Linked DNA regions of Arabidopsis thaliana. The main gene of each other region encodes a partner of the protein of the gene in region 3 in a complex. Each region holds a gene or a part of one and is shown on either strand. Other genes may lie near its edges.

Region 1 (6,063 bases), on a different chromosome or scaffold from region 3:
AAATCGAAATTCTGCAACATCTAACTCCTAGAGATAAATTTTCAGATGTCACCTCATACATTATAGAAGTTATTAGTCCCATTACATACCTTGAGAAAACACCCTTATGCCTCGCTCCCCCATGAGTCAACCTATAATTTTCTGTAATCTGAAGGCTACCCCAGTGTGAAATCTCAATTTCACGCACAAGCTCCTCAACAACAGCAAATGGACTGTTATTCTCGAAGTGAATGATGACAGGTGTGTAAGAGTATGAAGCACGATTTTCATATGGTCCATATTTGATCTCTTTGCCAGCCCGGTTAGCAGGTTCAATGCTAGTGAACGACTCTACTCTAGTACTAGGAGTCTTAATAAAAGTTGTCTGTTGCTTAACATGATACGGTGACAATATCACTGCACTATCATGATAGTAAACCAATTGAGATTCTGACTGGGTTATCTCCACTGGGAAAGGTTCCAAGGAATGAGTCAATATGTAAAGCACCTCAAGTGAAACAGTTTCACCCGGACCTAAGGGGCTAATAAACGTAACACGGTAGTATCCAGTGTCATTTGGTGCATCAGGTTGTTCAGTTGGTTTTACATCTAATGGCAAATAAGTTTTCTTCTTCTTCTTGCCAGTAGTTGCCAGGGCTTGTACCATAGCCAAATTCTTGATCTGGGTAGGTGGGAAAGCAAGAAGCATTTCTGCAGCAGGATCTTTCCCAATATTTTCAACCTGAAGAAAGAAATCCAGACAAGAAAATGTCACCTCCTAATAGAAAAACTTAAAGATGATGAAGGAGAAAAGCGATAATATCAAATTAACTGTCACAACGAATCAAAGCCACTAAAGTTCCAACCTTTACAACAAGTATCACTACAATAAACTAAATTTGACTAAAAGAAAAACAGCTGCAGTTTCATATAACATATCCAAAAAAGCTTTAATTTTCCAATTCTAAGTTCCAACCTTCCAGTGTATATTCAATAGGAATAACTATTATAAACATTTGCTTATAAATACCTTGAGAGTCAAGAAGGCCTTCACGATATGTGAGCTTAAATCAATCTGTAGACAAAAACAAACACAAAGGAGAAGCATTTCAGTTTCGGGCAAGAAAATTTTGCAAACAGGTTCTATCATTAGACTTTCTAATTACTCAAATCAAACGTATAACTGATGAAAAGTCACACTATCTATCAATGTACATACATATGAAGCCTATCGATGATGATCAACCATGAAGTGACCAATCACACAGTAATTCTACAAACCGAGTATAGATCGGAGAAACAGCAAAGCCCAACGGCAACTTCATTAACTTGAATTTCCATAAATCGGAGAAACGGGATCCATTAAGGAAGTTTATGAATTGTAAGAAGAAGATAGATCGGAGAATCTTACCCTTCGCTCGGCATTTACGATCTGGAGATCCTGAGCTGAGGAAAATGCAGAAATAGATAACAATACAGCTACGAAGACGGAGAAGATCCCGATACGAGCAGCCATTTTCGTCACTGCAGTAAGAACAAAACTCAAATCAACGAAAGAGCTCAGAGATGGTGAATTGATAGGATTTGGAAGATCAGTAAAAAATTACTCACCGATGAAGACAGAAACAGCAAGAGAGATCGTGGATCGTAAATATAGATACCGACGGCGGAAGGAAGAACGTCGGCCGGCGAAGTGAGAATGATCCGGTCAACTACAAAGTCTCAGTGTCTCTCACTTCTCTCTTGATTTAGGGATTAGTTACGAGCTTTTTTCTTCCTCAGATTAAAAACGACATGAGACGTTGTCGTTTCAAACTTTTAAATTTAATGGGCCGTGAGAAGAACTATTATTGGGCTTCACACCACAAAAATATCGACGGTTGGATCAGACACGTGTAATAACTCCGAACGGTTCCGATGTCACTGAACACTTTGCCGCCATTCAAATTCGTTTGTCGACCTAACTCTGTTTCTTCTCTCGCCCCCTTCAAAATTTTCTCCGGTCACTTGAATTTGTGTTCTGATTCAACGAGTAAGATATTTTTGACCATCGACGAGTTTTGAAACTCAAATTGTTGTTTATTTCTTCAGTAACTATGGCTATCGATTGTCTCGTACTTGGTAACAGTTTTTGTTCTTCTTCTTCTTCTCTCTTTGCTTCTTCAAAGTTTCACAATTTCAATTTCTGTATAATTCTATCTTTTTTGTGTTGTATCCAGGTGCTGGACAAGAGATTGGAAAGAGCTGTGTGGTAGTGACGATTAATGGTAAAAAGATAATGTTCGATTGTGGGATGCATATGGGCTGTGATGATCACAATCGTTACCCAAATTTTTCTCTCATATCTAAATCCGGTGATTTTGACAACGCGATCTCTTGTATCATCATCACACACTTGTATTGATTCTTCAAACCCAGAATTTGTCCCTTTTTTAAAATTCACTTTTTTAGTTTTTGTGGGTTTTAATTGTGAGTGTTAATAGCCATATGGATCATGTTGGAGCGCTTCCTTACTTCACGGAAGTTTGTGGGTACAATGGTCCGATTTATATGTCGGTGAGTTATATTGTCCTCAAGGTGTTCGATGAAATGTTTGACTGACTGTTTTTTTTTTGTGAAGGTAAAGGTTGTTTACTTTGATTTGTCTCTTTTGTAGTATCCCACAAAGGCTTTGTCTCCATTAATGCTTGAGGACTACCGAAGAGTGATGGTGGATAGAAGAGGCGAGGAGGAGCTATTCACCACTACCCATATCGCAAACTGCATGAAAAAAGGTACTTGAATATTGGATTTAGTTCATTTGAGGTCTTTGTGCACGAATTCAGATGCAGTGTCTATAACTTGACTTCCTCTTGTTTTTTTATATGTAGTAATTGCAATAGATTTGAAGCAAACAATTCAGGTTGATGAAGATCTTCAAATCCGGGCTTATTATGCAGGGCATGTAAGACATTCGTTCTGGTTTTAGTGAATTTCTTTCTGTGTTTTTTATATTCAGAGTTTCTGTATTTTTTAAAGCTTATTTTGTATTGATCATAAGGTCCTTGGAGCAGTGATGGTTTATGCAAAGATGGGAGATGCAGCGATTGTGTACACTGGAGATTACAATATGACGACAGATAGACATCTAGGAGCTGCTAAAATTGACAGACTCCAGTTGGATCTTCTCATTTCAGAGTATGGAAAACAAATACAAACTTGTTCGCTGGTATTTTTCAACAAACTTAGAAAGAACAAGTTTACCTGATATAGGTTTAACTATGCCGTTTTAGGTCCACATATGCAACTACCATTCGCGGCTCAAAATATCCCCGGGAGAGAGAGTTTCTTCAAGCTGTATGTCTACTTGTAACTATTAACACATGGTTTCTAAATTTGTTCTTAAATGGTTTTTGATTATAATTACCCGCATCACCTTTGGCTTGTTTCTGATCAATATACCCCTTCAGGAAATGCTTAAGCTTTCGTTTGGTAATTGTCTGATATCTCAGAAAACTCTTCCAGGTTCATAAATGTGTTGCTGGCGGAGGGAAGGCGCTGATTCCTTCATTTGCTCTTGGAAGGGCTCAGGTCTGTCTTCTTACAGAGCTTTGAAGTCAGTTACTTAAACTTGTCTTTGCTTCTCTTATGTCTCATTGACAATTGCGTTTCCTTTTTCAGGAACTCTGCATGCTGCTTGATGATTACTGGGAACGCATGAATATAAAGGTTCCAATTTACTTCTCATCAGGTCTGTTAAATCACCACCAATCCTCATATGAAATCAATTCTGCAGATTAGTCAGCTCAACAAAGTCGTGACTCTATTTCATGAATAGTGATCTCTATCTTCTGAAAATTGCTGTCCCTGAAGATAAATTTGTACTTTTGCAGGTTTGACCATCCAAGCAAATATGTATTACAAAATGCTCATCAGCTGGACAAGCCAGAACGTTAAAGAAAAGCACAATACGCATAACCCATTTGATTTTAAGAATGGTATGTGTACTACCATTTGCAAATAACTTTAGAACGTTGAAGATGAAATTTATATCATATGGAACCGAAACTCTGATGTGCTTGAAAAATAAGAACCAAACTAGTGGTTCTAATACATCCTTTGCGTCCATTTTTTGTTCTTATCCACTACCTTAGCTGTACAACTCTGCTTGCTTTCTAACTACTACCTTCACATTCTGCAGTTAAAGATTTCGATCGATCTCTTATACATGCTCCTGGGCCATGTGTTCTCTTTGCCACACCTGGTATGCTTTGTGCTGGCTTTTCACTTGAAGTGTTCAAGCACTGGGCTCCTTCTCCCTTGAATCTTGTTGCATTACCCGGGTACTATACCTATTGTGTTTCCCCTTTATTAGCAATTCAGTTTTTTCCTAGCATAGCATCTAACACGAAATTGTATCTCTTTTCATCCATTTATGGATCCGTTTTTTACAGATACTCTGTGGCTGGGACCGTTGGGCACAAACTGATGGCTGGTAAACCCACGACGGTTGATCTCTACAATGGCACCAAGGTCGATGTCCGTTGCAAGGTTTGTTTACTCTTTCTTCTGGTTCTCACAAAATTTATGTAACCTTAACACGAAAACAGCAATGCGTCCAATTCACACGTTGAACCTAAACTAAAATGTCTTGTTGATTCTGTTGTTATCAGGTACATCAAGTGGCTTTCAGTCCTCACACAGATGCAAAAGGAATAATGGATCTCACAAAGTTCCTTTCCCCAAAGAACGTTGTACTCGTGCACGGCGAAAAACCCAGCATGATGATTCTTAAGGAAAAGATAACCTCAGAGCTTGACATCCCCTGTTTCGTCCCTGCCAATGGCGAAACAGTTTCATTCGCTTCAACCACTTATATAAAAGCAAACGCTTCTGATATGTTCCTAAAAAGCTGCTCCAACCCGAATTTCAAATTCTCAAACTCTACTCAGCTCCGTGTTACAGACCATAGAACCGCAGACGGGGTTTTGGTAATAGAGAAGAGCAAAAAGGCAAAGATAGTTCACCAAGATGAAATCTCTGAGGTGTTACATGAGAAAAACCATGTGGTCTCTTTAGCTCATTGTTGTCCAGTGAAAGTTAAAGGAGAATCAGAAGATGATGATGTTGATCTAATCAAACAATTGTCTGCAAAGATCTTGAAGACAGTGTCTGGTGCTCAGATCCATGAATCTGAAAACTGTTTGCAGGTTGCATCTTTCAAGGGCTCTTTGTGTCTAAAAGACAAGTGTATGCATCGAAGCAGTAGTAGTAGTAGTGAAGCTGTGTTCTTGTGTTGCAACTGGTCTATCGCAGATTTAGAGCTTGGCTGGGAAATCATCAATGCTATCAAACTAAATCACTGATTCTTGTAACACTGAGAAGTGTTTTCAGTTTTTGTCGTTTTTCTGTCGGCATATGTAAAAGTTTTGATCCTAGTAAATTAAATTAACCCAGTAGTAACTAAACTTACCAACTTTAGCGCCAATTTCTATCTAACAAAGTAACACCCGTATTAAAAACCGGAACCAATTACCCGAAACTGAATCTGAATCCGAAAATTTACTTGTGTCCTAAATTCTTCTACCCTAAAAACCAAATCTGAAGTCGAACCCAAAAATACATGAATATTTTAATCAAAAATTTAAATTTTATTCGAAATCCGAAAAATTTGCATATTTACCCGCAAAATCAAGTATGGTTCTAAAAAAGGCCTAAAATCTATACACGAACCGATATTTTAGATTTACCCTATAGAATCCTAAACTTCTCTACCCGAAAAACCGTATTCGATCGAATTTTACCCGAATCCGACCCGTTTATCCGAATGGCCACTCCTAACCGGATCCTTTAAGGTTAAAGACGTACGACTTATTGTGATAATGATAATTAACTTATAAGACTGTGTCTAATCTTCAATTAATGTTAATTAACTAAAACCATTTTTTAAAACTGTCCGCCATGGCTTAGCGTTTTCTAGAGCAGAGAGAAAGAAGAATCTCAATTCTCTTCGTTACTAATGTCATCGTATTCTTCAGATTCCACGGCGGCGCGTGATCAACATGCGCCTCTACTCCGTCCACGACACGACGGCTCTTTTTCTTC
Region 2 (7,901 bases), about 13 Mb from region 3:
GTGTTGAAAGCTCTTGAATGGAAAGTGTTTTCGCTTTCATTTTAAACTTTTGAGAGAACATACAAGGAACAAAGAAGAGAGTTTATCACGTTTTACTGTTTTAGTTTACCGCTTTACCGAAATAGGAGTGGAATATATCCAATGACAACTTAAGCTTCTACTAAGATGACAAGTACAAAAAAGTTACAAAAAGCTATTGCCATTTTTAACACATTAATCTATAAGATTTGAGGGTTATAAGCAAGGCAATAAACTATACGAGATTACATGTTGAGTGGTTGAAAAATGTTGAGAAAATGAGAAGAAGCTTCATTTTTTTTCTATATCATGCTCAGAGGAGGTAGAACTGAGAATAGAGATAATCCCTGATTTTGTAATAGTCTTCACACAACGGTCCTTCTATCAGAATTTGCTGTGGACCCGATGCTCCTCCCTGAACAATCCCCAACATATATAAGTCATTCTCTGATTTGTTGTAAGAAATGCAGTATTTGCTTTGAATTACCTTTTGACCCGTCGGTCCAACCTTTCGTAGAGTGACATATTCACCACAACGTAAAGCTCCTCCACCTGCAAATTCTACCTGAACACCCTTGCTCGACAGAAACTGCTTGAAGTCTGCGATTTTCAGATCACCTACTAGAACAGGTTTGTGTGGCGAAGCAGCACCTGGCATCGGTAGTAGAGACCTCATGTCCCTCTCTGTCTTCCCTACTTCGGAATCCACCCAAGCTACTTCTGAATCTCCCAGCTGATATTATTTCATCATTCTTCAGAGACATTGGTTGCAAATCGGAAAAGAAGAAAAAAATAGTCACGGAAATAAAAGGTACCTTCTTGAAGATCACATTGCTCATCAGCTTTTCAGAAAGTTGGACCTGATGTATCACCATACAGGGTTAATTCAATCACACAACTCAAAACCCATGAGTTAAAAAGGATCTTCCTAATTCTAAGTAATTTCTACCTTGTAAGCACATAAATCAGAAGTCACATCGACCGTTTCCTCTATTTGAGGAGCATACACGTGTGGACAGATGTTGTTCAAGCAGTGTTGCTTCAAATGCTCTGTAGCCTCAGCTATCGCGTGCACCAAAACCTTCACATGATATATAGTATTAGATCACCGCAAGTTTCCAGTTCAGTGCTTAACACTATATATATATAAGACGAGAGAGAAACGTACAAGTTTTAAAGGAGAAACATGCGCAATCATTGACTTGATTGAGCGGCCATCTGACCGACCTTCATAGTCCATTTTAACAAGTGAACAACTAACAGTCACCTGTGCAAAAGCATAAGAACAAACTAAATCATTTATCAGGGAAATTAGACAGCAGTTAGGTATAGACAGAAGAAGACTAAAGAGCCATATTGTTTTGTTTAGCAGGCAAGGCCTACGTTCTGAGAATAACCTTCTGAAACTTCTACATGACATAAGATCAAGTGGGTAAAAGTAAGAACACAAAAGTTGTTCAATAACAAGAAGAAAATTAGACCGATTAATCCAAACAACAAAATATCTGTAAGTTGAATTATCGTGCTAAAGATCTGATTAGCAAGGTCTCCCGTGATAACTAATTAGAAGATCAATTAATAAATTTCTTGTATGCATATCATCAGATGAAGATAAATTTGACAGGCACAACGCCATGTCAATGAGAATTCCTATCTCTCTATTTCTAAGTGAGAAGACTACTCCTTGTGCCTATCATTGATAAGCAGTCTATAACAATAATCAGAGATTCTAGAAAGGGAGAACAAATGAGGACATTAACTGAGACAAAATCTCTATCAATGTATTGTTCTTTGGATATAATTAGAGTCTACTTACAATGAGCTCATTGGACATGACTTTCGAAGGTCTTGTATCAAGCATGAGACTAGCAGTTGCCTCATCAAGCCTTCCGTCCACATCACCTCCGTTCTGAAATGGAAAATTATATCACAAATTTAATAAGCAACACAAGACTCTACATAGAATGACCCTAAACCTTTACTAGTAAGCAATCAGTTGTTAAGGAAAATATAAAGATGGAACTGTAGAACCAGTGCACTCATTTGAAGAACTGCACTCATACCAAATCAAGAGCCTAAGCAACTTTATGGCAAAAGATTTCCTATCTGTATCCCAAATCCTCAGAGCATATCATGCAGATTTCTTACATCTTTGTTCTTCTTGATACAAAAATCGTAAAAGGAACCACCACTATGCAAACATCATGGAAATTAAGAGGTCTAATTTGCAAATATAACAAGAGCTAAGAAAGACCAAGACCAAGACCAGAATTCAAGGAACGTACATGCATTGCTCCTCGGTCCATGTCTTCATCCTTGATCACATAGTCATCTGGATTAATAATCTCCCCAAAGTCGTCCCATTCAGATGTGTTATCATAATATGGGAACATTGGAGCTACGCTGCTGGATGGGGGAACAAATCCATCAATCAATATATCTTTATATGCAGGCCCGTGAGAACCAATAACTGCAAGAGTAGTCAGAAATGTAAAAGGTCAGTTGCAGACCACTATGTAGTGGAAAGAAGAGCAATCAACAACGGTAGCCAGAGGTCTAATTGAAACAGACACATATTGTGGGACTGTGAAAAACTAAACAAATTACCCAGAAATGTATTGTGAGACTTCTAAATGTAGCTTCTAGGTCACTCAAGATAACCACATAAATGCCTCCTAAAACCAACTAACCAGTACATTACAGAGGGTACTATGTGCATAGCCATTTTCAGTACTAGATACTTCAATTAAGTTAAAGTTTACATGAAAAATAAGAAGTTACAGGCCACAGAATATTCAAGGGTAATAAAATGTTATATAAAATAAGAAAAAATTTACCATCGTGAGTAGTCTTGGTATCTATGATCATAGGTTCACTTGAATTATCATCGGATCCATGGGAAGCTTTTGTTTCCTCCTCTTTAACGAGGCTAGCTCGCAAAGCTTCTTCCCTTTTCAGTCTGTTTTGCTCTTCCTCATATGCAATTAACTCTTCCCCAGCCAAAGGAACCCTCTTAGACATGGTGACTTTAACAAATTTTGGAGGTGGGGCTGACTGAAGCATACGAGCTAAAGTGCCAAACTGCAAATAGAAGCAAATGACAATTAAAAATCAAACTAACAGCAGTTTAGTTTTATGTGATTGACTACAAACCGAAACATCTTGCAAATCTTAGATCACGTGAACTATGAATGGACACATGGAAAGTATAATCGCCATCGCAACTAAGGAACACGACCAATGGCAAAGGTAACAAATTGGATGAAGAACTTCGATAATTTCACTTGGATTTACGGTGTTACTGGTATTTCAAACTTAATAATTCCGTAATGCTCTGTTTTCTGGATAGATTGACATGGACAAGAAAGCATAGTCACACAGAACTGAGAAAAGCGTGAATAATTAACCAAAGCTTCCATTTGTTTCCAAACTATTTATTTGAATAAATTTATTTTTGTCTAGATTGAATTTTAATTAAAAGTATGATATTTCAGGGAACAGGATGATGTCTCGCTAGAAGAAAAATAAACAAAGTACGCGGTTACAAAAAAAAATTATGTTCATTTGAGATGAATGATATGGCCAATTAGACAGTTTGTGCATAGTGGTGTCAATTCCATTAATATGATAGTCTACTAAGACCCTTTATTTTGTACTGGATGTAACTAATTGATAAATTCAAGACTGAAAGCTCTGGAGATTATCCTAAAGGAGCAAGCCAGGCTTTGGTGGTAATTATAATGCTGCTTTAAGGTACTCAATCTCTGCCTATTGTGTACATATTGGGGGTAAATATCCACACATAAATGGGGGAACTCTTATTCAGATCAGAAGACAAAAAAGATTCTCATATATCCACTTAACTAGCTGATCAGCACTAGGAAAAGAATCTACCATCAGGTCTTTATAGCAATGCTAATAAATTTTCGTTCCTCAACGTATGTGGGTTCTAAAAACATACCTGGCCTGTTTCAGTAAAGAGGACTAAATTTCTGGGATCATTTGCCCACTCCACGAATATCTCTCGAGCAAAACCGGCTTCGAGACTAGCCATGGAAGCAAGAACAACCTATATTATGAGATTTAGTCACTACAACATATAATAGGAAAAAATCTAGTTCTATTATCAGCTGAAAAGACAGGAAATAATAATAAATCCACCACGTTCTATGTACTAACAAACACTAATGAGTTACTTATAATTTTATAAACAACCTTTGGACCAGGTGGAGCATTATCCAGATCAGTCTTGTTTATCAACAGAGTGACATGCCTGCATGTGTTTAAATTTCATGTGATGTCTTCTGTATTCTAAACAAACGACGGCACAAATAAGGCATTCTTATAAGAAAATCTACCTCAATAGAAAGGCATTATCACGTGAAGTCTCAAAGGACTTTGAAATGGAGTCACTCATCCACTCGAGGAAACTCTTAACATAGTCAATTGTGCTAGATGACACGTACGTGAGAAAATAAATGGGAAAGCTGAAACCTCTTTGTGACCAATGCTGCAGGTTTGATCAATATCCAGTCTTTAAAAAACAGCTGAACATTAACTAAGAGCATGATACATTCAAAGCGGTTCTATTACCTGTTCAAGTATCAAGAGAAGTTCCAGGACACGACCCGCAGTGTCTACTGGCAATAGAACATTTCCTCCAACTTCAAGATGTTTTGAAATGGTATCTGAATGATAAATGGGGACATGCACACATGTTTCTGGCAGTTAGAAGCGGGCTGTTTTAAATACTATAGAAGATACACAACACATATTGGGCTACAAGCTAACCTAGAAATTCTTTGTCCCTTTGCTGTCTTGCGGTTTGATTGGTATAAAGAGCATGATATGCATCGGTTATCAGAACAGCAGGCCGAACAAAAGACTGTAAAACAGTTCCATTCAAATGCCTGAATTAAGATATACAATTCAGTATCACGAGTCCACATCTTTACTTACTGTTATGAACATTACTCGAACTTCAAATAAGATAAAATCTGAACATATGTACCTTTCTTTCCGATGATTGTAGTCAACAGCATATATAACATCCTCCCCATCCTTTGTTATCCTCCAGATGCTACCTCCCAGCATGTGTCCAGCAACATGAGGAGCAATTACAATACCCTCTCCCTTTCCTGATAGGGCAACGATAAAACCTTGAGACATCCTAACAATCTTTGAAGTCATAACTTAGGTTTCAACAACCAAATACTCAATGTGTGTCAAAGAACTCCTTCCCGATATGAGATCATAGATAATGCAGATCAAACTTGCTTGAGATAAGTGTCAATTGTTTCTAGTTTGCTATAGAGCCTAGAAATCACTAAAACCACATACCAGAAAGATGGTAATTTTGAGAGTAAGTCAATCTGATCACATTCTGGAAAGCAGAATCTATGTCATCCAGTGTAAACAGATCAAAGTCGGATACTTGCTGCAACAGTAAGATCATCGTGTTACAATGCAGACAATTGCGCAAAAATAACCACTCCAGTAGTTAACAAAATCTCACCTTCCTGGACAAAAACTGATCATACATTGTAAGGAGACCTAATCTATGAACAGGCTCAGTAGCATAAACAGGAGCGGAGAGTCCAAGCTGCTTCATAGCATAAGGAAGAGCACCAATGTGAAGTGTATCTGGATGAGAAAGCAAAACTGCATCTATAGTAGAAGCAACCCTGTAAACCAGAAGAATCGAATTCAAAACAAATTAGATTGGTGAATTCTGGAAATGTAGATAATAAGGATAGAGAAACCTGGAGAGAGGTTCGAGGAGCGATGTGTCGAAGAGATCGTTCCAACCACAGTCGATGAGGAAGTTGAAACCATCAATGGAGACTAAGTAGGAGAGAGGATTCTCGTTGTAAACTCCGCAGAGAGGAGTCACTTGCACCGAAGTACCCATCTTTTCCGTTCGCCGATATAAACCCTAAAATTTCTCCGATGAACTAAAGAAGAAGAAGCCACCGTGAAAGAGGGTTTTTTAATTCTGTAATAATAACCTCCCCGGTCCATATATTTCCTTTTACTTCTAAAATAACCCTTTTCTTTTCAAATTGTTCATTTGGTACATATAATCTTTGAAATTTTTTCTCTCTTTACCTTGATTTTTTAACCAACACAAAGAGGGATTAGTGAATCTTTTACCAAAAAATGTTGTGGTAGCAGTGAAACATAGATGGTGAGTCCATTATAAGCATATGAGTCAATTCTATTGTATGTTCAAACTTCAAAGTAGATCGGTTTCATTATGATTGCTCATTCATTTAAAATTACATGAAACTTCATTCATTGTTTCAACATGAAAACATTAAACACACCCTTAAGGAAAAATAGGCAAATCTCCGTTAAATATACTAGAGTAAATCAAAAACTTTTAAGCAGTTGTACCAAATACACTAGATCTATGAGCATATGGTGCAACCAGAAGACCATTACAAGTTGATAAGAACTTACGCATAAACCTTTGTATTTATTATCCGTAAATCCCAATTACAATGAATCAAAACCCTATATTGATAAGATCGGAGTTACAATGCTCATCTCTTATCATCAAGAACATAGCACACAAGCCCTAATTCTCCTCACAACATCAATGATCACGCAGGATAATCTCTATAATTCCTCTCTAATATCCCTATTTATACTCTTTTATTCTTCTCATGCTTCTCTTTAGCTCTTCACACGTGCCTAATTCTCCCACATGTGTGCTCTCTTATCACTAATTAGTAAATGTTGCAACTAAAAGATCACTACAATGGTAAAAAAATGTTGGAAATCTCTTCTATGAAATAAGAGATATTAATGAATGAATTCACTTTCAGTTAATTTTGAATTAAACGTATTTGAATTCTGATATAGTATCGAAGTTCAGATCATTTGACATAGGTGTGTTGCGTAATACTTAATAATTCAATAGTTCGAGATGAACTATATATATCATTTGTTAGGAATATGATGGACAATAAGAAACAAGTAGCTGGTATGTTGATTGTGACGAATGATAAGTTCTTCCTGATTTTATTGATGCACGTTAGAAAGCCAAACAACATTTTGATTCAAAATTGTGATAGCTTCACTTCAAAGGCAACACAAAAAAAAAAAAAAAAAAAAAAAAAACATATGCATTTGGTGAAGGAGGACCCGTGAGGACCAAACCAAAATCATAATGGCTAAGGATAACAACCATAACTAACTATCAAACCTTTCTTTCTTGATATGAATATGAAAGTTGTAGTTAGGTAATAATAGGTTGATTAGTTAAAGAGTGTAAATAAATGTAATTATTATACTTGTTTTCATAAGAAAAATGACCAGAGAGATTGAAGACAATTGTTTGTGTGTGTTTTTTTTTGGTTCTTTAAAGATAGATTAAGAAGATTCGGTGAACCTAAACCAAAAGACACCTAAGAATGTGATTTTCGATTCTAATTCATCAGCTGGTGACCCACCCATCAAGACCCATCTCCATACTTAGAAAAATATCTAAAAATACAATACATTTTTTATAAATAAATAAAAAGAAAGTATCAAAATATGGTTATTCTTGCAAAAAAAAAAACTTTTTTTTAATCATTTGTTTTTTGTTTTTTGGCCTTATCTACGCCCTATGCTGTCTACTGCACATAACTAAACTTAGCTCTCGTGTGAAACTGATAAGTAGTAGTGTAGAACTGTTTTTGTGAGCCTGTGGCTGTCACTGAAATTTGTTTTTAATACCAATACAGAAATTGGATTTCAATACATTTACAGATTGAAAATTCTTACAAAAACATAAACAATGAATTTACAATGGTGGACCACAGTAGAATTACAAGGAAATATTTACTAAACGAAAATAGAAATCTGAATGTATAGAGGGAAATGAATCTTTTAGC
Region 3 (5,117 bases):
GTTTTTTCTTTTTTCTTTTTTGAAGTTTTTTATTGATTTGGTCATTTTGCATGATATTATAATTATTACGGTTATATTTCATAATTAGTTTAATCGTGTATGTCCAACTTTTTTAATTGAACTAGATTATTAGTTAAACTAAACCGAACTACATTTGGTTAGACTATTAGATTTTTATTATATCAAACTTAACTTGAAAATAAATCAAAATCCTCACTCTCGATTAACAATAAACGTTTTCCCTTTCTTCCCCTTCTTGCGCTTGTTCTTTTCAAGCTTCTTCTCCTTCATCAACTTTTCAATAAACTCATCGTTCTTTTTCTCAAACTCTCTCAGAAGTTTCTTAAGTTGCTGCTTGTCGTTTGCCAGTTTCCTTAAATCTGCAGTAGTTAGTTTGATTTTACTTCCAAACTTGATTCACAGAGAAATAAGCTTCCTTATGTCATTCTCCACGTCATCCTCCTCCTCCTCTTTCTTCTTGTCCTTCTTCTTCTCCTTGAGATCCCAGATAATGCCAACTTCTTCTTCAAGGATTTTTGTATCAAAGTAGTCATTTTCGTTACCAGGTGCAGAAACAGTCCACTTGGAGTAGTTGATAAGGTCACGTTCAAGGTTAAAGTGATGAATGGCATATGTGTATGCAACAGACACAGATCCATCCTTTTCCCATGAGACATGAGCCTCTTCTTTCTCCTTCTCCACAAGAACCTTTTCAACTCCCTCTTCTTTCCCTTGAGCTTCAAGTCCCTCTTTCCTCTCCTGAACCACACGTTGAACTCCTTTGGCCACTAAAGGATGCCAAAAATCCTCGAAAAGGAATCGAGGCTTTGGAGCCTAAGAGAGTATCTCTTTGTGAATAGTTTTAACAAGCACAGTGTAAAAATTTTCTTCCTTGACATTTTTTCTTCTGGTAATGAGAAATAAGATAAAAATTTGGAGAAAAAGAGGATGAAGCAGAAGAAGAAGTATGTAAAAAGAGTAGTTATAGGTGGTTAAACTTAAAGCTATCATTGTTGTCGTCTTGTATGGGGGAGGAACACTCAAAATCGTTTCACAGAGACTTGCAGGAGGTTTCTTATTTTATGAGGACAAGAGGTGAGAAGTAGAGGAAGCCCAAAGTTGGTTATTTTCCTTTTCAAGATTTTTCAACAATTAATAAGAAATATTATATGAACGTATCTTTAAATCAATTAATTATTAGCATTTGTTTTCATAAACCTTATAAGGCATCCCCTTGTTCTCCAAAACAATTACTGTCATCCTCTTTCTAAGTGAAAATTATATTTTTTTTTATCGTCTCTAAGTTGTTTAAGGGGTTAAAATACTAATTACAAAAACACAATCTAAAACATAAATAATAAATACGTTTATCTCTTACATATTTTTGCTGAGATTTTTTTATTAGAAGTATAAAGATTTTTGGGGAAATTTGATACTAAGGATCTTTTTTAGAACTAAAAAGGAAAACAAAAATATTTTACAAAATGATATATTTCGATATATAAAGTTTTAATGCAGTAATGAAACTCAAAATGATTGATAACACTTTCTAATACTTTTATGTTGCAAAAACAAAATCATGGTGCAAAATCCACTACTTTTATGTTGTAGTATATTTCTAGAAGAAATTTGGTTTCATGGTATATATTGGGTATTAAATAAAGATTGGACTATCTTCCCTTTGGCTTTGGTGTGTCATAGATAGTGATAAGAAATACCTCTTTTTTTGGGCATTATTTGTTGACAAACGATATAGAAAATTATAAACAAAATAAAGATCATTGGAAAAACATCATTTGACCAAAGATGTGTATATGTGTCCCAATCAGAAAGTTCATAACAAGTTCCTCTCTTCTCTTCTCAATTCTTATGCATCCACATCATCATTGATTTAATGCTTTTAAAAACAGAACATTACATTTATTTTTTTAAAAATGTATTACTTTTTGGACAATACAAGTTTGATACATATAACGGATTTCGCAAAATATTTCATGTTCTTTTTGCAAACAAATAATCCCCAAAAAAAACTAAAGGAAAAGAAATTCGTAAAGACCAAACTCGTAATAAAGAGTATATACTGTTTCCCCTTAAAAAAAAAAACCAACCTAAAATTAAAACCCGTGGGTTTAAGGATTTGATCTTTTAATGTTCACAAAATCGAGACCCTAAATTGCTCTCACACTCACTTCCCAATCTTCTTAGTTCAATTTCAATTTTTAGAATTAGAATCTCTGAATCCCAGATTCCGGTAGAGAAGATGAGTTTCGCGGCCTATAAGATGATGCATTGGCCTACCGGCGTCGAGAACTGTGCTTCCGGCTATATCACCCACTCTCTCTCCGATTCAACGCTACAGATTCCGATTGTTTCCGTTCATGATGATATTGAAGCTGAGTGGCCTAATCCTAAACGAGGTATTGGTCCTTTGCCCAACGTCGTTATAACCGCCGCAAATATCCTTGAGGTGTACATCGTTAGGGCTCAAGAGGAAGGGAATACTCAGGAGCTGAGGAATCCGAAGCTTGCTAAGCGTGGTGGAGTTATGGATGGTGTCTATGGTGTTTCTCTCGAGCTCGTGTGCCATTATAGGTACGTGTTTGTTGACAATTACCTCCTAAATTACTCCAATTTTGGTACTTTGACTTTGAAGTGACGATGTGATTGGTATTGGATTGTAGGTTGCACGGTAATGTTGAGTCAATTGCGGTTCTTCCTATGGGAGGTGGTAATTCTTCTAAGGGAAGAGATTCGATTATATTGACATTTCGCGACGCCAAAATTTCAGTTCTTGAGTTTGATGATTCAATTCACAGCCTTAGGATGACGTAAGAGTGTTTTGCTTTTGTTGGTTTTGGTAAATAAATAAATGAATTCAGCTTTAGTTTCAGCTCTGTCTCCTCTCAATTGTTTCTTTTGACCTATATACGAGATGTTCTGTGTCCAACTATTGTTTTAACTGTTTTATACTTCTCAAAGTTTTGGTCTTTACTTACGCATTGTTATTGTTTCTAGCGATGCAAGTTACGTAGTATTGGATCATATACTGAAGCGTTCTATTGTCTATGTCTGATTGTTTCTTCTAGTTATCTAATTTATGTACCATTGACTCCTATACATGACTTCAACAAATAATAATGGATATGTGGTTCCTTTTCAGTTCGATGCATTGTTTTGAGGGTCCAGATTGGCTTCATCTGAAAAGAGGAAGAGAGTCTTTTCCAAGAGGCCCTTTGGTAAAAGTGGATCCTCAAGGCAGATGTGGCGGCGTTCTTGTTTATGGTTTGCAGATGATCATACTCAAGACTTCCCAGGTTTTTGTTTTGGCATTATTAATCAACTTCATCTTAACTGTCGCTTTATCTGCTACAAATTTCCAACCTTCATTCTTTTCTTTTATGAACTTTATTTTGGGTTTTAGGTTGGTTCTGGACTAGTTGGAGATGATGATGCGTTCAGTTCTGGAGGGACAGTTTCTGCTCGAGTTGAATCATCTTACATAATTAACTTGCGTGATCTGGAAATGAAACACGTCAAAGATTTTGTTTTTCTACATGGTAGGTTTAGCAAGCAAGGTTTCTTCATAAACTTATCTCTGAATCAGTAGTTAATCATAAATATATTATGATGATTGTTTCTTAGCTGCTCAACTTGCATCGAATCTTGTGTCCTTGAATGGATCTAGCTTACTAAGTTGTTGTTTGTAGATTCAATACGACAACTGATGTATTCTGGTCATGATTACAGTTTGAAACAAGAGGAAATGTATTGTTTCTTTGATTTTTCAATAACTAGCTGTCTGAAATTTTAGATATTCTAGTTTTCCCAGTAGGCATAAAGAATAAACTAAGTGGTGCTTCTTTTGATTATGTGTTTTTGCATCCTGTGTCTTCTTCAGGTTATATTGAGCCTGTAATTGTCATCCTTCAGGAAGAAGAGCATACTTGGGCTGGGCGAGTTTCATGGAAGCACCATACTTGCGTGCTTTCTGCCCTTAGTATCAATTCGACATTAAAACAACACCCAGTCATCTGGTCAGCTATTGTATGTTCGTATTTTCCTCTTTGTATCTTATAATAGATCTCTTCCCAAGAAATTAAATATTTGAGTTGCACTATTAACTATATTGTAAGCTAAGGGTAGAAATTGAAGTCATCTAAAAGGTTATTGAATATCCACTGTTGTTACATGACTAGACTTTCCAATCAGCTATGACGATGCTCTATTTTTTGTTTAGAATGCTCAAAGAGTTGATCTTTCTTTAGGAAAAATTTCCTAAAATAACAAGCTATTTCATGACTGAAATAGTTACTTCGGCAAACGTTAGTCCCTGATCATACTTATTCCCATTCTTTTGGTATTTTCCAGAATCTGCCCCATGATGCCTACAAACTACTTGCAGTACCATCTCCGATCGGAGGTGTTCTTGTGTTGTGTGCAAATACAATCCATTATCATAGTCAGGTAGTTTTATATTACTTAGCTTTTGGTTGTTTCTTGTTTAAAATTCAACAATTCCAGCCACTCCACCTCAAAGTTCTACAGTTACTCACACATCTGGATACCATATATATTTGTAGTCAGCCTCCTGTGCTCTGGCACTGAACAATTATGCCTCCTCAGCTGATAGCAGGTACAGTTTTCTCGCACCTCCCCACTCTTCAAAACCTGCTTCATGCTTATGGATATAATCTTGTTACCTCAGTCTTAGTTTAGAATCCTAAAGCTTAGAATCAACTTTCAACATTTGTAAAACTCTGTTTATACTGTTAACCACATTTCTATCTCTGTGTGCGTCTGATTTCTTTCAGTCAAGAACTGCCTGCATCAAATTTCAGTGTGGAGCTTGATGCTGCCCATGGAACCTGGATATCGAACGATGTGGCCCTATTGTCGACAAAATCTGGGGAATTGTTGCTGCTGACTCTTATATATGATGGGCGGTAGTATTTTGATCTTCTTTAAAAAAAAATCTTCTGACGCTTGTAAAGCTGGCTGCAACTTATTTTGTTTAAAATATGTGAAACTGACTGCTACTTTCTTTTTTGAAGTGCTGTACAGAGACTTGATCTTTCCAAATCAAAAGCCTCTGTGCTTGCTTCGGTTAGTCAATATGT

What was found.
Region 1: CPSF160 (region 3) and CPSF73-II share a complex: the UniProt entries of both Arabidopsis thaliana proteins name them as parts of the CPSF complex.
Region 2: CPSF160 (region 3) and CPSF100 share a complex: the UniProt entries of both Arabidopsis thaliana proteins name them as parts of the CPSF complex.

Annotation. Positions count from the first base shown.
Region 1 is NC_003071.7:318,522-324,584, forward strand, and holds CPSF73-II (cleavage and polyadenylation specificity factor 73 kDa subunit-II), read left to right. Parts: upstream 1-1,911; 5' UTR 1,912-2,075; coding exon 2,076-2,100; intron 2,101-2,198; coding exon 2,199-2,376; exon of another isoform or gene 2,377-2,462; coding exon 2,463-2,535; intron 2,536-2,635; coding exon 2,636-2,753; intron 2,754-2,849; coding exon 2,850-2,923; intron 2,924-3,019; coding exon 3,020-3,156; intron 3,157-3,251; coding exon 3,252-3,315; intron 3,316-3,483; coding exon 3,484-3,549; intron 3,550-3,639; coding exon 3,640-3,709; intron 3,710-3,851; coding exon 3,852-3,956; intron 3,957-4,159; coding exon 4,160-4,301; intron 4,302-4,412; coding exon 4,413-4,509; intron 4,510-4,631; coding exon 4,632-5,324; 3' UTR 5,325-5,442; downstream 5,443-6,063. Other genes in the region: AT2G01720 (Ribophorin I), read right to left, coding at 90-721, 1,010-1,054, 1,391-1,495; RIE1 (RING-finger protein for embryogenesi), read left to right, coding at 5,978-6,063. UniProt on the Arabidopsis thaliana protein: Component of the cleavage and polyadenylation specificity factor (CPSF) complex that play a key role in pre-mRNA 3'-end formation, recognizing the AAUAAA signal sequence and interacting with poly(A) polymerase and other factors to bring about cleavage and poly(A) addition.
Region 2 is NC_003076.8:8,050,578-8,058,478, reverse strand, and holds CPSF100 (cleavage and polyadenylation specificity factor 100), read right to left. Parts: upstream 6,041-7,901; 5' UTR 5,930-6,040; coding exon 5,781-5,929; intron 5,703-5,780; coding exon 5,534-5,702; intron 5,456-5,533; coding exon 5,359-5,455; intron 5,157-5,358; coding exon 5,030-5,156; intron 4,929-5,029; coding exon 4,810-4,928; intron 4,707-4,809; coding exon 4,612-4,706; intron 4,529-4,611; coding exon 4,377-4,528; intron 4,292-4,376; coding exon 4,234-4,291; intron 4,088-4,233; coding exon 3,980-4,087; intron 3,100-3,979; coding exon 2,856-3,099; intron 2,489-2,855; coding exon 2,304-2,488; intron 1,928-2,303; coding exon 1,835-1,927; intron 1,286-1,834; coding exon 1,187-1,285; intron 1,100-1,186; coding exon 968-1,099; intron 879-967; coding exon 834-878; intron 752-833; coding exon 506-751; intron 434-505; coding exon 332-433; 3' UTR 14-331; downstream 1-13. UniProt on the Arabidopsis thaliana protein: CPSF plays a key role in pre-mRNA 3'-end formation, recognizing the AAUAAA signal sequence and interacting with poly(A)polymerase and other factors to bring about cleavage and poly(A) addition. Required for antisense-RNA-mediated gene silencing.
Region 3 is NC_003076.8:20,977,990-20,983,106, forward strand, and holds the start of CPSF160 (cleavage and polyadenylation specificity factor 160), read left to right. Parts: upstream 1-2,015; 5' UTR 2,016-2,260; coding exon 2,261-2,592; intron 2,593-2,681; coding exon 2,682-2,828; intron 2,829-3,160; coding exon 3,161-3,314; intron 3,315-3,421; coding exon 3,422-3,557; intron 3,558-3,898; coding exon 3,899-4,044; intron 4,045-4,368; coding exon 4,369-4,464; intron 4,465-4,580; coding exon 4,581-4,633; intron 4,634-4,811; coding exon 4,812-4,943; intron 4,944-5,051; coding exon 5,052-5,103; intron 5,104-5,117. Other genes in the region: AT5G51650 (uncharacterized protein), read right to left, coding at 214-411, 454-834, 1,219-1,260. UniProt on the Arabidopsis thaliana protein: CPSF plays a key role in pre-mRNA 3'-end formation, recognizing the AAUAAA signal sequence and interacting with poly(A)polymerase and other factors to bring about cleavage and poly(A) addition.